Bombyx mori: one gene and its partners. The protein of the gene in region 3 purifies or fractionates together with the protein of the main gene of each other region. This does not show direct contact. Links are inferred from orthologs where the notes say so. Each region holds a gene or a part of one and is shown on either strand. Other genes may lie near its edges.

Region 1 (2,932 bases), on a different chromosome or scaffold from region 3:
ATGTATATACTTTTTTCTGTATGTATTTTCAACTTAATATAAATTTCATTGCACCTACCACTATTTACTCTGCACTACTTTTGGTTGACTGGTTGACTGATAAATAAATAAATAAATATGAGTAAGTAGGTACATGACGTTGGCGGCCCTAATGATACTATGAACGCGCAATGGTTGTCAAAGCACTCACGGAAGCGGTATGGTGATATTGACATCTGTCAACACCAGGTGATCCTGCTCCAGCTCGTATTCGATATTGACGTCACATCCTCCGTTGACGCCTTCGGACGGCCAACAGTTTACTGGAAGAAAAAAATGTCTGTTAATACCTAAATCTATATTTCTCTACTAAATCGCGGTTAGCCTAAACGCTCAGAATACAGAAAATACCAAAAGCCGTATACGCGCTTAATATTGAAGCGTCAATAACTACTCCTAATTTATTACTGGTGGTAGGACCTCCTGTGAGTCCGCGCGGGTACCACCGCCCTGCCTGTTTCTAAAGCAGTAATGCGTTTCGGTTTGAAGGGCGGGGCAGCCGTTGTAACTATACTTGAGACCTTAGAACTTATATCTCGAGGTGGTTGGCGCATTTACGTTGTGAATGTCTATGGGCTCCAGTAACCACTTAACACCAGGTGGGCTGTGAGCTCGTCCACTATGCAATAAAAAAAATTAAAACTAAATGTCGATGGTAGCCTAAATGCTATTCTTGTTGTGCTCTAGCTGGTAGGTCAGTTTTCTAACATTGGCCCTAGCAAGAGCTTCGCTGAATCCACCACCAGATCAGAATCGCGACGCACTGAGAAGTTCCGGGCGAGAAACTCAGTGGGTTGTGTCTACGCGAGCAAACAGACAAAGGATTTTCTTTATTTCAGACCAAACAAAAGTTCGCTGTGAAAATCGACAAACACTTCTCAAATTATGAGCGGACCGAATTCAGGGGGCAACGAACTCGGTCGTGTCTTTAAAGTTACCACAGTTATCTTTAACCCTTTTACTGCAAAAATAAATAATAATTTCTGCAGAAATTGCTAAAGAATTTCTGAAAAAAAGTACCTTAAAAAATTATACAAGAATCAATGCTAAATTCAAACGAATAAAAACGTCATACAGGTCCTATTTTACTTATAATCAAACTGTGCAAAACGTCGATATTTCGACGCTCCATACTTCATACGTATTAATAGAGCGTCGATATATCGACGGTTCGCGCTCAAAAGGTCACGTATCACATGTCTCACCGGAAAGCGGAGCCAGCTTGTCATCGTTGGTAGTGGCCAGCCTCCACTTGAGGACTCCGACGTCGCTGTGCATCGGGAAGGGGCGTTGAGCCTGCTTCAGCCCAATCACGCCGGTCGAGCGGAACGCTTCTTTGTCCACGTTTGGATGGGTCTGAGATAAATCGTCGTTTAATTAATGCTGATTTAATCACTGGTGATTATTTCTGGTGGTAGGACCTCTTGTGAGTCCGCACGGGTAGGTACCACCACCCCGCCTATTTCTGCCATGAAGCAGTAATGGGTTTCGGTTTGAAGGGTGTAGGGCAGCCGTTGTAACTATACTGAGATCTTAGAAATTATATCTCAAGGTGGATGGAGCATTTACGTCTATGGGCTCCAGTAACCACTTTATACCAGGTGGGCTGTTAGCTCGTCCACCCACCAAAGCAATAAAAAAAAAGTACTATTGAACGAGCTTTAATCGCGGTTTAGCAAAATTGCTATAATTACTTTACTTATCAATCACACTTTAATCACGGGTTAGTTAGTGTTGTTTAAGTCCCGGTTTGATCAATCACACTATAATCACGGGTTTAGTTAGTGTTGTTTAAGTCCCGGTTTGATCAATCACACTATAATCACGGGTTTAGTTAGTGTTGTTTAAGTCCCGGTTTGATCAATCACACTATAATCACGGGTTTAGTTAGTGTTGTTTAAGTCCCGGTTTGGTCAATCACACTATAATCACGGGTTTAGTTAGTGTTGTTTAAGTCCCGGTTTGATCAATCACACTATAATCACGGGTTTAGTTAGTGTTGTTTAAGTCCCGGTTTGATCAATCACACTATAATCACGGGTTTAGTTAGTGTTGTTTAAGTCCCGGTTTGATCAATCACACTATAATCACGGGTTTAGTTAGTGTTGTTTAAGTCCCGGTTTGATCAATCACACTATAATCACGGGTTTAGTTAGTGTTGTTTAAGTCCCGGTTTGATCAATCACACTATAATCACGGGTTTAGTTAGTGTTGTTTAAGTCCCGGTTTGATCAATCACACTATAATCACTGTTGTTGTGTATTTGATTATGTGTTGATCATGGGATTAATCGTACTTTATTGTTTAATGCTGCTATAATTATGGTCCGGTTAATTATATGACGTCACAGTTATTACTTTCTCGACGATGACTCATGTTTGGGCTTCCGAAACAAAACTTCACGAGAACTTGGTGAGCAGCGTATATTTCACGAGAAGCATAACAACGTTCCAGAGAGATCCGTTCTGTGCAACGGCTCGGACACGAATGACCAATTGTCATTTATTTATTTTGACTATTTAGTGTTTCTTCAGGTTAAAATGTATAATAACAGTGGTTTATTAACTGCTTGATATCTGTGAAAGTGCACAAATATGGGAAAATGAAACAAAGCCGCTGGACGTAACTTCTCGGGATCCTTCAAAAAGTCCACTGAAAAAATCTCAGTAAATGACCACCATTTTACTGATATTATATTTCATTCCATATCATCTCATTTAATTTAATTTCAACCCAGTTGATTAATGTCTCAAATTAATCATCTTCATTTAATTTAATTTCACTCCATATTATAACTTTACATAAAAGTGAGAATATAAATTAAAATAAGACATGACTTAAAGGTCTTAGTTACCAGGTCATAAAATCCCCTAAAAAACTAAGCATCATCTTC
Region 2 (4,311 bases), on a different chromosome or scaffold from region 3:
CTTATGGTCTGAAATAAAGCAATAAATTGATTTTTTTAGGCTACTAAATAGACAGCACAATGTTTTAAAATTACATAACATAATCACAATAATATACATGAGATTAAACTACAAAAGTTAATTTTTTTTTATTACCTCTACAAATACTACTGATGCACTAATGCAACAAAAGTAATTTGATAGCTGTTAATAATTTTGTATGCAGCCCATGATCTGGTTACCTACAATGGTGGATTATTGTATTGTATGTACATATTTGAATATCTTCTAGTAAATAAAAATGAATATATTATTTATTATACAAATTACACTTAATTCATTCATTAATTAAGTAGCAAGTTCATTAGTTTCATCGTAAAAATTATGATGCCTAAATAATTTAGTTGCAAAAAAATGTACAATCTATTTAGTAAAATTTAGCCTGTTTATGAAATGCTTACTTAAACAGATATGCTTTAAACAATGAATTTAGTTACCTGATCATCAGATGCACTTAAAATCCATGGGTATTCATGATGGAAGAATGTTGTACGTATATAATCCAAGTGACCAAGCAATGTGAATAGACATCTTCTTTGTTTGTAGTTCCAGACCTGATAAAAAAAAATTGTGTTAATATCATAATCAAATTCAAATTCAAATTCAAAATCATTTATTTCAACTTAGATGTCAGTATGACACACTTGTTGAATGTCAAAATACAAATAACAATGTTAACTCTACCACCAGTTCCAAAAAAAGCCACAGTCCTGAGAAAAACCGGCGAAACAAACTCAGCGGGCTTTTTTTTTTGTTTTTTCTCAAATATTTTCTTTTTTTTTAAATAAATAGAAATATTCACAATAAAAGAAAAAACAAGTCAAAAAAATACAATAAAAATAATAATATTAATAATGAAAAATGAAAAGGCCAGGAGCGAGCGCCTCATTCCCACGTAGTGCCATCTAGTAAATAATCCTTAACTTTATAATATGCCTTGTTGCACAAACATTCCTTAACAGTTTTCTTAAATCTATGAACAGGTAGTAGTTGAACGTTTAGTGGGATCTTGTTGAAAAGAAATCAAAAGCCATTACAAAATAGTCAAACCATTCCGGCTAAAGCTTAGCTTTTTAAGGTTTAAATGTATTTAAAAAACCTTTTGTGAATTATGAAAAGTAAATTGAGATGTAAATAAAACCTTTATAGTTATATATACTGCAAGTATGGCTTCCTTGAAAGTCTCAGCATTATTAATTTTTTTCAAACACAATATATAATACAAATTTAAATGATTTCAATTATTTTCAATTCCATAGCTCTACACTACATAGTCTTACAGGTGCTAAAACACATCATTAAAGTGCATGATTATATACAACTGACTATTTTTGGGACAGACCAGTTATGCGTTCTGACACAACAGTAAAACAGCCTTTACAATAATTTAATTGATACTTCAAACTCATATTCTACCGTAAGTGATGCATGTTTTAACATCTATGCTTCTAATACTCTAGTATCCTATGTAGATGTAGTCACTACAAAAAATGTTTGCTGTGAGTTATTTTAAAACACATAATAAAAAATAAATAAAGTAGAATTTAGTTAGTAAAAGAATGAAATCTTTAATGACAAAAATATTTTAATTGTTGTGTAATTATGTGCAATTACTTTTATTTTAGACTACAACCTTTTCAAACTACTTCAAGTACTTCTCCATGGTGTACTTATTTATTTATTTATGCAAACAATAAACACATCCAACAATTCAAATCCACTCAACGAAACCCTATCTCAGATCTTAATAATGAATGGCAATAGCTTATCCACTGTAATAATAACCTCGGCTTATTTTCCAACCTAAATCTTTCTCTAATTCCTATTTTCAGTATTTATGAAGAGTTGCAAGCTCACATGAGATGAGATAATATGGTACCACTCTCCCATCTACTGCTACCTTTTTCATTTATTTATTCTTTATTAGAGCCACACACCTATTAGGTGAAGTCGGCTTACTGCTAGTTTAAATTCTTAAAATTTGTTTTTACCAAAAATATTCCACATAATTCTAATAAAATAGAAACTTTGGTTCTAGTATATAAATATAGGCAGTGAGTAGCATTCACATTGTGTTCAAACTTCAATAAACGCATTATACAGTACTAGCTTTAGAAGGGCATTTTTGTTGCATGCATTTGGACAAAATACTTGAAATTATAAAAACCTAAGTTTTGTTAACGAATCAGTTCTTTATCAAAACAAAAATGGTTAAAATTTGTAATATCAGTGCTTTAAATTTTGAAACTAAACAAAATAACATTGTCTTAATCTTAGCTTACTTATAAAATTATTAAAATCTAAAAACATTTCGCCTTCGCAAAGATGCACAAAACCAAACATTCCATGCCCGGAATACGTGTCAAAAGCATGACAGATTAATATCAACAATAATTGTAATTATACTAGCAAAAGAACTAACGGCATATTAGGGCTTATACCTTAATCTTGTAGTCATCTCCGCCCGACACGAAAAGAGGCTGTTGAATATGGAAGCAAATTCCACGTACTGGACCATCATGTTCATCAAATTTCTCAAGTAATGTACACATACGATAATCCCAAAGTTGAATCACACCATTGTGCAAACTAGCCAGCACCCATGGTCGCTTAGCATGAAACGATATGCCTTTCACCCGCGCAGACTTCGTCTCGAATTTTTTTAACATTTTGATTCAAACACCGCTGAAATAATACGAAAAACTACAAAAATTAAAACAAGCGCAATGACAGCCAACCGGCTGACGTGACACGTCCAACACAGAATAGTGCTGAGCTTGTAATTGATCAAAATTGAAAATATCGACAAATCTGAACAAAACTATCGATGTTAATTTGATCAAATCATTAACTAATTTTGAATGGAAACGAATAAACACACCAATTAAAATCACATATTTCGTATCTTCTTAATGGTTGTAATCATCAGTATAATTAGCGTTATTAAAAAACTTTGAGAGTCGGGTAGCCTGGTTGAGTTAAATTTATCTTTCCTGATGAATCAATGGTTAGCTTTTTTATTTATTGCTTAGATGAGTGGAGGAGCTTACAGCCCACCTGGTGTTAAGTGGTTACTGGAGCCCATAGACATCTACAACGTAAATGCGCCATCCATTTTGAGATATAAGTTCTAAGGTCTCAAGTATAGTTACAACGGCTGCCCCACCCTTCAATCCGAAACGCATTACTGCTTCACGGCAGAACTAATGCTGGTACCTACCCGCGCGGACTCACAAGAGACCCTACCACCAGTAATTACGCAAATTATAATTTTGCGGGTTTGATTTTTATTACACGATGTTATACCTCCACCTTGGGAGTCAATCGTGAACATTTGTTGAGTACGTATTTCATTAGTAAAATTGGTACCCGCCTGGGATTCGAAACACCGGTGCATCGCTCAACACGAATGCACCGGATGTCTTATCCTATAAGCCAAGACGATGTTAGCTGTGAGTGTTTTGAGTTAATAATATAAATAAGGTTCAAAAATCATTTATTTCAACTTAGATGTCAGTATAACATAGATTTTCACGAACCATATCGTAGCACTAACAATAATCAGTAATTAATTATGTAGATAAAATATATTATTATGGCTAGTAAGATTTTACGAAAATAAGTGAGAATATTTTGCATCATCCAAGTCGATTATGATATTTTAGTAGATGAAATAATAGAGGAAAAACAAATACTGGTGGTAGTGGTGGTGGTACCCTCTTCCTTACTAACGTTTTTTCCGTGGTAGGGAGACGAGCACACGTTCCACCTGGTAAGTAGTCAAAGTAGTAAAGTGGAAAGCCAGCAACGCCATTGCTTACTGCAACAATATTTTTTAATTATTTAGACGAGTGAGAGACGAGACAAAGTCCAGGCCCATCTGGTATTAAGTGGTCACTAGAGCCCATAGACATTTTTTGATTCAATTTTTCCTTATTAGGAAAGGCAAGGGGATCTAAACCCATACAGCCTTGTGTGTTGTATATAATTTCTAAAATGAATTTTCAAAAAAGCCGAAGCCAGGTCTTATATGATTTATATTATATCCTGAAATAAAAAAATCATTAAGGCAGAAGCCAAGTCCTTTATAATTTCTTTCTGAAATAAAACCCAGAGACATCGTAACCTTAATGCCACTATCGATCCCTAGATATGAGTTTTAAGTCTCAGTATTAAAGTACAACAGCTGCCCCATCCTTCATACAGAAATGCATTACTGCTTCGTGACAGAATAATTGAATAGGCAGAGTACTGGTATTTGCTTGTGCTGGC
Region 3 (3,121 bases):
AGGATTGAACTGTCGATTATAAGCCCTATAGTCAAAGGCACTAACTAGTGCACTACCAAGTCAGTCACAAAGCTTTAGATACTAGAAAGTTATTAGTAAAGAAGAAAAATTTTCTTATAAGAACGCCAAAAGGTCCTCTGGACATGCAGATTTGTAATGTTTTTTTTTCATCTTCAATGTCTACAATCCTGTACTTTTATTAGATACGTTGAAATTCATTACGTAGGCAATAAGAGCATGACTCCAGCGAGCCATCTACTCTAAATTAAAGGTTTGTCATTGAACTACATGACGGTCAGCTTTTTTGTCTATTTATTTATTTATTTATTTATAACTTCTTATACTATAAAGTATAAAGGCGGACTTAATGCCATAGGCATTCTCTAACAGTCTATTTCTACATTCTCTAACAACCTTAGGGGAGTGCAAAGATGAAGCTTGGTAGGTGTAGTGTGAAGGTGATATTACTGAAACATAATAATATGTGTGTATATAACATACATAATATTTATAGATACAAATACTCGTACTTAAATAAATACATATACATAAATATATAGATATACATAAATATATACATATACGTATCATAAATATATACATATAAAAACATATATAAACAAATATTATATTATATTCAGTATTTCTTCAGGTTTAAATGTGTAATAACGGTGGTTTATTAACTGTTTAATATCTGTGAAAGTGCACAAATGCGGGAAAATGAAACAAAGCCGCTGTATGTAACTTCTTGGGATCCTCCAAATAGTCCACTGAAAAAATCTCAGTAAATGACTACCATTTTACTTAGAATATTTCATCCCATATCATTTCATTTAATTTCATCCCAGTTGATTAATGTCTCAAATTAATCATCTTAATTTCATTTCATTTCACTCCATATTATCATTTTTCATAAAAATAAGAATATAAATTAAAATAAGACATGACTTAAAGGTCTTAGTTCCCAGGTCATAAAATCCCTTATTAAAACATGACGGTCAGTCCATGGTATTAAGTTTAAGTTGCATATAAATTACTAAGTGACGTTATCTTTTCAGTTGATCCTTCAATCAGTATTGAATGCACTCTACGAGTCTGTTAGTTTGCTGCTAAGAAGGAACATGGAGCGGAGGGTCCTCATGGAGAACTTGGATGCTGTTATGCTTGCCTTCGATGAGATCTGCGACGGCGGGTATGTTGTAATTATTATTACTAGTGGTCGCCCGGTAGGCGAAATTCGACTATAATTAATTTAAATTATACCCTGCCTATTGCCGCCCTATCGCCCTGCCCATTTCTGCCGTGTAGCAGTAATGCGTTTCGGTATGAAGGGTGGGGCAGCCGTTGTAACTATACTGAGACCTTAGAACTTATATCTCAAGGTGGGTAGCGTCATTTTCGCTGTAGACGTGATGATTATAACAGAAATGATGATTATAGAAATGTGACCACAAAACCATAATAATAACGTTCAAACTTTTTATTTATTTATTGCTTAAGTGGGTGAACGAGATCACGGTCCACCTGGTGTTAAGTGGTTACTGGAGCCCATAGACATCTACAACGTAAATGCGCCCCCCACCTTGAGATATAAGTTCTAAGGCCTCAGTATAGTTACAACGGCTGCCCCACCCTTCAAACCGAAACGCATTACTGCTTCACGGCAGAAATAGGCAGGGTGGTGGTACCTACCCGTGCGGACTCACAAGAGGTCCTACCACCAGTAAAAGTCCAGTCTGTTTCACCGTACAAACTGGAATGCATGTCTGCTTCAGAGCAAGATGGGGTATACAAATGCATGTATCCCTTAATGATAATGCATAATTAATTCACACTAAAAAAGGGCGATAAATTTTCATAGTGCACAATAATAAATATTGTTACGCGGTGGTGCTCGGGATAAATATAACTTCTACCGAAGTAAAAATTAAAACTGACTTACAACACTTAAAGAAAACATTACAATTCGTAATTCACTTCAGGTTATCCGTTCGCTGTTTCGCTTCGAGTAGTACCGATTACTATCTGCTTTCGTGTATCTCTGCAAGGCTTTTATAGTCGATACGACATCTACAGAATTCAGTAGTTTCGATGTGTGTTTCCCCTATTTGATAATAGATGGCGTTGCACTTCTCGAGCGTTCTCGATTTTACTAGTTCTTTTGATATTCGTTTCTGCTGGGCGGCGATAGATGGCGTTACTTTTACAGGCGTAATAATATGTAAATTTTTTACTGGTGGCAGGACCTCTTGTGAGTCCGCGCGGGTAGGTACCACCACCTCGCCTATTTCTGCCGTGAAGCAGTAATGCGTTTCGGTTTGAAGGGTGGGGCAGCCGTTATAACTATACTGAGACCTTAGAACTTATATCTCAAGGTGGGTGGCGCATTTACGTTGTAGATGTCTATGGGCTCCAGTAACCACTTAACGCAAGGTGGGCTGTGAACTCGTCCACCCATAAAAGCAATAAAAAAAAAAAAAATTGTTTTGTGTAATTACAGTGTGATATTGGATGCTGATCCCACGTCGATCGTAAGCCGGGCAGCGCTGCGCACCGAGGACGTGCCCCTGGGAGAGCAAACAGTGGCCCAGGTAATTGATCAAGTCAATAGATTGTTTTGGTAGCGTACAGCTTGTTGCCGCGATGGATTGTTGTATACTCGAACCGAGGACGGTATCACATCAAATCTAATCACGCATGCGTTGCGTTCGAAGCCACTTTTATTTATTTTTTATATTATTAAAATTTATTAGGCACACAGTACACATCACAAGCTAAAAAAAGAAACATGTGTGCAATTCACACGTGTCAGAAGTGAAACCTTCAAAAATTAAAATACAATTACTTATCGTAAATGTCTAAGTATATGTAAAATTTTGTCATTAGTAAATAATTGTAAATCATCTTTTATAGTATGAGGTAGCGCCCTCTGTGAATCGATATTTTAACGTCACGTATAATCCTAAATTGAAATTCACTACGAGAGTTTTCATACGCACGTTAGTATTAAAAAATCGCATAGATGGCGCTGTATAAAAAATTTTCGACACTTCCGTTGCGTACCTGCGTGACGTTACATCTGTAAAAATTTTACCCTCATGCACCGAAAGAAGTTTCACTT
Region 4 (4,211 bases), on a different chromosome or scaffold from region 3:
ATCGGCGCTCATCTCTGCGCGGTATAAATACAAACAGGCTAATGGATAGGACATTGTTAGTGATATCTGCAACCCATTGACGTTAGCGTAGCGTTTGAATTTTTATTTATTGCTTCGTTGGGTGAACGAGCTCACGGCCCAACTGATTTTAAGTGGTGGCCGGAGCCCCTAGATGTTACAACGTAAATGCCCCCACGTGCAACCCACCTTGGGACATGAGTTGTAAGGTCTCACTTTAAAAGTACAACGGCTGCCCCACCCTTCAAACCGAAACGCATTACTGCTTCACGGCAGAAATAGACAAGGTGGTGGTGCCTACCCGTGCGAACTCATAAGACGTCCTACCACCAGAATGTCCTAATAGGTGCCTTATTTATGTGAACCCGGTGCCCAACATGAGCTATGAGACAAAAGTATTTTAAACTCGTGGTCATGATACGCGCTAACACCAGTAAGAGGGACGGCACGAAGAAGGTGCCACCATGGAAGCAGAGTATTTACTTTGTATTAAATTTATTAATTCAGTCCACGATTGTGTTTGTCAAATGAAGTCATTTAAAAATGGCGTTACTGTAGCACAACTTCTAAATTAAAAAGGAAAGGCAAAGGTTTTATTATTATTAATAATATGCGATTTTTAAAATATAGATTTCATAACAAACGTATTTTTTTTTCTCTTAGGTACTATAATAACCATACATAATATTTATATCTTTATGATTTACGACTTCTCATAACTTTTTCATTAATTTCTATAACCAATCTCAATCTGTTTGGAAACTGCGTTCCTGAAATTTTTTGGCCATTGTTAGGAAGCAATCTTCCTTCTATTTTGAACAATTTTGTACTGGAAGAGTAAAAACCCATATGAGAGAATTTTCCTTTAAACTGTTTTTATGGGGAGATAATGTAACAGGAAGTAAAATGACCAAATTCACGTACTTATTTTCCAAACCAGAACATCCGAAAGAATGTTATCACGACTATTATTTTATGCTTTGGTAAGGAGTGGACGGCGAATAGTATGATTATTTTTATTGTTTAGCAATTATTCTTATTTACGTTACGTAATTTATGAGTATAAATTTACCTTCTAAAAAAGAAGATAATAACCTCTCAATTTCAAAATTTAGTTAAATGTAATTAATATTAATTTCACTAGAAACAGACGTTTCTTGTTGAACTATTAAAATCTAGAAAGAAAATGGAGGTCATATTACTGATCTGTGATGAAGATGTTATAAAAAAAAAAACAAACATAGAAACATAGATTTTGTAGTATTAAACTTTTTATTACATTTTATTTTCAGTTTTGTAGATAAAATTTTATTCTTTGCAATTTTTAATTTCGTATGGCTTAAAATGTCTCGTTGGGATGCGAAAGCCGTACTTAACCGCTAAATCGTAATAATTTCGCGTATCCGATAAAACCGGTTTTGAATAAATCTAAAGTGACACGTCCACCCACCCTGTCAAACATCTACTGGTCCTGTAAATCTGCATGACGATTTTCATGTTTTAACCATTAAAAATGGTAAGAAAACAATTTTTACACTGAAATGCGTTTAAGTGATCGATATTCCAAAGACAAGATTTTCGAAAAAGTTAAAGCCACGTAATGCGCAGTCGTCATCACTTTGTCATCTTTGTAATGTCGGCACTTGCGCGATGCAAAAATTCATTTGTAATTAAGGGTAGTTTCATGTGTTGAGTGCATTTATAACGTGGTATCGCTATGTTTCTGAAGCCTCTGCGTCTGGATATCAAGAGGAAGCTGACGGCGCGGTCGGACCGAGTGAAATGCGTCGACCAGCACCCGTCGGAACCCTGGCTGCTCTGCTCCCTGTATTCAGGAGACGTTAACATATGGAATTATGAGACTCACGCTCAAATTAAGAGATTTGAGGTCAGTTTATGTACAATATATTAATACAATATAGTATTTTGGTTTCAAAATAATTTTACAAAACTCAAATTCGTAGCTTATTTTCGAAAACAACTGTACTGTTTTGAAACCATAGTACTTAAACATTAAATGCGAAATGAAACTGTAGCCGATTTAATCTTCTAGTACTTCTAAGAAAAGTGTATTAAAAAGTATCTGTGTCTGTAAAATTTTATAATTTTACTGCCACTCACTGCTAAGCTAGCTCTAATTTAAGATAATTACATAGAACTTTGATCTACAATATATGGCTATAGCCAATTTAATTTCCTCCCATAGATAATCAATATTATAATATTTCATTTATAAAACAAATGAAGGGTCCTTATCATGATTTCATTCACCACATTGCAAGTCTTGAAAGACGCGAAGTTAAAACTTATAATTTATTTTGTAAGGTATTTTATGTAAATATGATCTTTATTCATAATCACAACATATTTTTGTGCAATTTCCTTGAATAATACAATAAATAAGAAATTCACCATAAACAAACAATAAAAACATAATTATTTACTATTCTGAACGTAATCTGGACTCCTGTTTCTATGAAACTGATTTCTTATTCAAACTTAATGTGTTAAAAATATTTTCCCTAAGTAACCTGATAATAAATATATATTTCTCTGTTATCTTTACATTACAAAACAATTAAGTTTTATCTGTTAAACAGTGACTGAAATAAAAATATTACATGGAATTTATTTATTTTAAAAGCTATGACTGTTTGTTAGAGATAATAATAATATGTTCTAAATATATGCAAAATTATATAAAAAATAGTCAGTTAAATTCTAAAATGTGAATAAGATATATCTAATGGAATGTTCTTTGTAATGAAAATTAAATTATTTAATTACCATTATAAAATTTCTTCTAAAGTATGTAGTGATTCACACTTGAATGATTTAAATTAGCCATGCACCTCTTTTTTTCTGACTAGTATAATTTTTATTGTCCTGGATGGTTTTGGCTATTAATGTTTCTCACTTGTTTCAAAATAGTTACTCACTGTTTAGACTGGAGTTTATTCCTGCCTTGTGTCAGATAAGAGTATTCAGAAATACTGCTCTAATAGTAATAGACAACCAGTGTAGTTCACAATTCCGTCCACCATGAGTGAGGTCAATTGTAATAAATGTTCTGCCTTTCGAAAGAGAATCCATATTTGCTTTGCTGTAGAAATAGGTAGAATGGTGACAGTTACTTGGATGGACCTACAGTATACTACCACTAGTAGTAGTAAGTAATTACATTAATTTATGACTATGGATCTTTGTTACTCAATATTATTATTTTCTCATAGCTCAAAAATAATCTGGAATATATAGCCACTCAAGGCCAAAATATTCATTAGCCTGACAGAAATTGTTAGTTTTCCCAGATTAAGATGTACATTGTATTAAGCTCTGCCATCAAAAACCTCCACAGTGAATTTACATCTAAAGTATTTATATTTTCTCTGGTCAACAGTACGAAACTGCATGCAAAAGCCCTGTTGATATGATTTGATAACTAGTACACCCAAGATGCTTTCAGCTTAGGTTGCAAAAGGTACTGCTTGAAGAGTGCATTCTCTGTACCAAGAAGGTAATGAATATTGGTCCAAGTAAGGTAATATTATGGTTGATGCTGTATTTGAGCCTCAATGAAGACATTTAATATTTTGGGATAGTCACCACTAATCTGAGTAGGTCTCATTGACTCCCCACCTGATATTAATAGTGATGATATTCCCTCATGGAAGTGATAAATATTAATAGCTCGACAAAAATTCATACTTGCCTGTGATATTTGAACATCAGAACACTTGTATCTCTTGAAATTATTACCAGAGGCATCTCATTTAGGTTTTGATGATTATAACTTCATTTCAGCTCCTCTGTAGTTTGGTTCTTGCACAAAAATTAAACGTAAAACTGTTCAACAATAGCAGCAGCGACACAAAAAAAAACTGAAGTAAAATTAAATAGTTTTCTAATAAAAGATATCAAGAATATTCATTATTTGTCATGATGGATGAATTATAGATTAATCATATATATTAGAATCGGTTCCAACTACTATTAATTATGAACCTGAATGATGACAGTTTCACCATTGAAAGTACTCATTGAATTGAAAGAAATCCATCATTATTAAATATGTAATATTATGAAATAAATCATGGAAAACTTGCACATAAACATGCTTTTTAGCATATAAGCTTTGATTCTTAGATTATAGCTATCTAAGATTATAGCAATAGAGAATCATAAGTAACAAC
Region 5 (3,519 bases), on a different chromosome or scaffold from region 3:
TAGGAACACAATCATTACACTACAAATAACAAGTATGGGCCGTCGCGGCACTCACGCGGGCAGGTTGAAGGCGGACTGCGTGGCGTAGGTGCCGTCGCTGGTGACGAGGCGGCGCGGCGCCGCGGCCGGCCCGCTCTCCGGCTGCTACAAGCACACAGAGATGAGTCGGGTCCGCTTGTGGCGCTGTGGTGGCGGGTGTGACGTCACTACCTGCGTGTCGGCGGCGCCCTCGATGACGTCGGCGAGCACGTGCAGCGCGGCGCGCGCGCGGCCCGGCGTGTCGGCGAACTGCGCGAGCAGCCACAGCGCGGCGCGGGCCGGCCTGCCCACGCGCACGCTGCGCACGGACTCCACCAGTTTCTGCGACACGAGGCGCGCTGTAGTGTGTGCTGTCTCGGCATCACAACGTTATGATATCTTGGATCGACTAATATAAACAAATACATTTTGCAGAACTATTGAACCTATAACCGCTGCGTTCATCCAGTGCGTTTCCAGAGATATTTTTTGCCACGTGCCATCCGGCAACGAGCTCCCCTCCACGGTGCTTCCCGAGCGCTATGACATGTCCTTCTTCAAACGAAACTTGCGGAAAGTATTTAACGGTAGGCAGCGGCCTGGACTTCGAAGACATGAATCCCAGTGTACTTACTACACAGGACCATTCATAGAATATGGTCTGTATCTAGAACTAACCGAAAGCTGTATTCTCCCATCACACTACTCGCCACCTAGTACCCCGTGGCCAGTGGTCATGTTTTACCAAGCCATGTAGGTGCAATTGTTTTCGATGGGTATTTTTCTATTAAAACAATATCTAAAGTCAAAACGACTCTTCCTCCTCGTGGGGTCACCGACCCATCTACAAACCCAAGGACCCAAATACAACAAAATGGGTGAACAAAATATAAGGCGAAGAGCCGTAGTGCTCGTCCAGTTGAGCAGTACGGGGCGGGGAGTAACCTGGTAGATGTGGTCCCTGAGGTCGGGGAAGGCGTGCAGCGCGTGGCGCAGGAACAGCAGCACGTCGTGCGCCGCCGCCTCGCTGCCCTCGCCCAGCAGCTCCAGCAGCGCCGGCGCCACGCTGCCAGCCACCTCCGGGAACTGCGGGACGCAACGGACTTACGCAGCACGCCCACCACTACCCAGCTTTATGACACAATGTTATTCCGTCACAGTTCAGTCATTCGTGAACATGAGATAACTACGTACTTCATTAGACATATGTGTACTTGTCTGTGGGATTCGAACTCCGGCAAAGTCACATGAATCAGAACTAAAGAGCAAAATGAAATTAATTGAATTAAAGTGAAACTTTTATTATATCGTCTCAAACTTTTTCGTCTGTGTGTTGCATGTCGCGTGACGGTCAGCCGCGGAGTAGGGAGAAAGTGCAAGGCGCTCGTCAGAGCAGCCAAGGCCAATATGGCGGCGCCTATAGTTCGCAGCAGCTGACCGTGTAGTATATAACTATTACTGATTTGTGCCAGTGCTCCACGCTATTTTGTTTGTTTTTGTCAGTGTTTAATGTAAATTTTGTTAGTCAGAGTAAAATGTCTATAATGTGAAAAAAGTTTCACTTTTACTGTGGTTTCATAAAACCACACAATCCTTTTTTTCTGCGACGCACTTGTATTAAATAATATTTACGAATGAAGTATGAACGGCATCGTTAGAAGTGGAAGGGAGCGAACCTTGAGCGCGGCCTTGTGCATGGCGCGCACGAGCAGCTGGCGGTACTTGGCGGCGTCGTCGTGGTCGGCGGAGTGCGCCCGCGCCGCCTCCTTGCGCAGCACCTGCACCAGCTCCTCCGCGTGCCGCGCGCTCACCAGCTCCAGCGCTGCGTCATCATACAACACCGATACATCAATGGGACTGTAGCAAGGTGTAGTGCGAGACGCTGAGTGCGGGTTAGAGTTGCCACGAATAGTGATTTGGCCGAATACCGAATACCGAATATTCGGCAACGCTGTCGGCCGAAGCGCCGAACATTCGGCACAAAGTACATGCTAGTTAGTCGAGCGCGTAAAGAATAATAGGACAGATCGGGACCTGTCTCCACCGTGCGCGGGCGGTGTCGGGCCATTTGACTGTTTCAGTTGCGAGTAAATCACGTCACGGCACGCTTTGTCAGATCAATATAAATAACAAATTAAATAAAACATTACGATTTTGTAGCAAAGTTTGTTCGTTAGTTCTTTTTCAATTGTTTGTTCATTAAAAAGTGACACCAATTAATAGAAAATCGGCCATATGAGAATATTATGAGATTTCTAGTGAAAATAATAAACAAAATTATGATTCGAATTTTTTGACGAAACATGATTTGAGACCTGCCCGTCATTTTTCGGTATTCGGCCGAATAGTGCCTATTATTCGGCGGAATACCGAATACCAAACAAAGTGACCGAATACCAAATAGTAGCCGAATATTCGTGGCATGTCTAGTGCGGATACATTACCGAGCTGCAGCGTGTGCTTCCTGACGTCGAGGTCGGAGGAGGCGAGCACGCGCAGCACGTCCATGGCCAGGTCGGGCAGGGCGCGCGCGGCCCCCTCCCCGCCCTCGGCGCGCAGGGCTCCCAGCCGCCCCACGACAATCAGCTTCACGTTGTTGTCGCTCTCCTTCACCACGAGGTCGATGTAGCACGCCGCCGCCGCCTGCGCACGGGCACGGTCAGTCGGGTGGGGGGACGGTGGGGGGCGTTGGGGGGACGGCGGGGGGTCGACGCACCTTGATGGCGGCGGGCGCGTTGGAGAGGGTGACGAGCGTGCCGGCGGCCTCGTACCGGACGGCGGCGCTGCTGGCGTTGAGCAGCCCGTACACGGTGCGGATGAACCGGGAGCGCTCCGACGGGTTCGTGTGGCAGACCTGCACCCGTACAGATAGTTACTGCCACTTCGATATTCACTTACTTAAGCTAAATTCGACCTTATGTCACAAATTTTGTAAATTTTGAATATTTTCTTTTCTATACCGATTTTTTAATTATTATTATTATTCATAAAAAAACATTTTATCTCAAAATTCTTTACATTGTTAAATTACATCTTTTCGTTTTTAATTATTTATTTAGTCCTTTATTATGCTCTCGATTCAGTAATGATAGTAAGCATCTATGAAGACATTCTTTATAGATTCAGACACCATCCTACTTTGAGAGTGCATATATTTCCAAGTTGTATAACTCTGCCCAAGTTTGTCTCAGCTGCCTACAACTATGTAGCTATCCTCCGCAACTAATCCAAGAATTACTATCTGTTTTGACATTTATGAGCAAAATATATCCTTCAATTTATGGTCACTAGAATTATTTACTAATGTTACTACATTAAAACATATGAGTCGACTATTATCAAAGGCGGCAATCTGACTTTTGGACAATGATTGGTAAATCAGAAAAACGAATTATTGACTTTGTATTCCATCGGCAGTCACAAAACTCTTCGGAACGACATCTTAGATAAATAACAGGTTAACTATTAACCTTTATTTAATGCAGGTTTTGAACCGTATTC

Evidence for each region.
Region 1: the proteins of COPZ (region 3) and COPD fractionate together in Homo sapiens (co-fractionation; 5 studies listed by BioGRID and IntAct, with this or other methods). This does not show direct contact. The link is inferred for Bombyx mori from reciprocal best matches to the Homo sapiens genes COPZ1 and ARCN1.
Region 2: the proteins of COPZ (region 3) and COPA fractionate together in Homo sapiens (co-fractionation; 6 studies listed by BioGRID and IntAct, with this or other methods). This does not show direct contact. The link is inferred for Bombyx mori from reciprocal best matches to the Homo sapiens genes COPZ1 and COPA.
Region 4: the proteins of COPZ (region 3) and COPB2 fractionate together in Homo sapiens (co-fractionation; 6 studies listed by BioGRID and IntAct, with this or other methods). This does not show direct contact. The link is inferred for Bombyx mori from reciprocal best matches to the Homo sapiens genes COPZ1 and COPB2.
Region 5: the proteins of COPZ (region 3) and COPB fractionate together in Homo sapiens (co-fractionation; 8 studies listed by BioGRID and IntAct, with this or other methods). This does not show direct contact. The link is inferred for Bombyx mori from reciprocal best matches to the Homo sapiens genes COPZ1 and COPB1.

Annotation. Positions count from the first base shown.
Region 1 is NC_085130.1:5,914,446-5,917,377, forward strand, and holds part of COPD (coatomer protein complex subunit delta), read right to left. Parts: intron 1,396-2,932; coding exon 1,245-1,395; intron 303-1,244; coding exon 191-302; intron 1-190. UniProt on the Homo sapiens protein: Component of the coatomer, a cytosolic protein complex that binds to dilysine motifs and reversibly associates with Golgi non-clathrin-coated vesicles, which further mediate biosynthetic protein transport from the ER, via the Golgi up to the trans Golgi network.
Region 2 is NC_085132.1:3,509,475-3,513,785, forward strand, and holds the start of COPA (coatomer protein complex subunit alpha), read right to left. Parts: upstream 2,820-4,311; 5' UTR 2,709-2,819; coding exon 2,481-2,708; intron 594-2,480; coding exon 477-593; intron 9-476; coding exon 1-8. UniProt on the Homo sapiens protein: The coatomer is a cytosolic protein complex that binds to dilysine motifs and reversibly associates with Golgi non-clathrin-coated vesicles, which further mediate biosynthetic protein transport from the ER, via the Golgi up to the trans Golgi network.
Region 3 is NC_085108.1:4,792,925-4,796,045, forward strand, and holds part of COPZ (nonclathrin coat protein zeta 1-COP), read left to right. Parts: intron 1-1,058; coding exon 1,059-1,192; intron 1,193-2,500; coding exon 2,501-2,591; intron 2,592-3,121. UniProt on the Homo sapiens protein: The coatomer is a cytosolic protein complex that binds to dilysine motifs and reversibly associates with Golgi non-clathrin-coated vesicles, which further mediate biosynthetic protein transport from the ER, via the Golgi up to the trans Golgi network.
Region 4 is NC_085107.1:19,811,792-19,816,002, reverse strand, and holds the start of COPB2 (coatomer protein complex subunit beta 2), read left to right. Parts: upstream 1-1,401; 5' UTR 1,402-1,531; coding exon 1,532-1,534; intron 1,535-1,720; exon of another isoform or gene 1,721-1,735; coding exon of another isoform or gene 1,736-1,747; coding exon 1,748-1,906; intron 1,907-4,211. UniProt on the Homo sapiens protein: The coatomer is a cytosolic protein complex that binds to dilysine motifs and reversibly associates with Golgi non-clathrin-coated vesicles, which further mediate biosynthetic protein transport from the ER, via the Golgi up to the trans Golgi network.
Region 5 is NC_085119.1:983,516-987,034, forward strand, and holds part of COPB (coatomer protein complex subunit beta), read right to left. Parts: intron 2,873-3,519; coding exon 2,735-2,872; intron 2,662-2,734; coding exon 2,463-2,661; intron 1,841-2,462; coding exon 1,695-1,840; intron 1,105-1,694; coding exon 964-1,104; intron 361-963; coding exon 211-360; intron 145-210; coding exon 56-144; intron 1-55. UniProt on the Homo sapiens protein: The coatomer is a cytosolic protein complex that binds to dilysine motifs and reversibly associates with Golgi non-clathrin-coated vesicles, which further mediate biosynthetic protein transport from the ER, via the Golgi up to the trans Golgi network.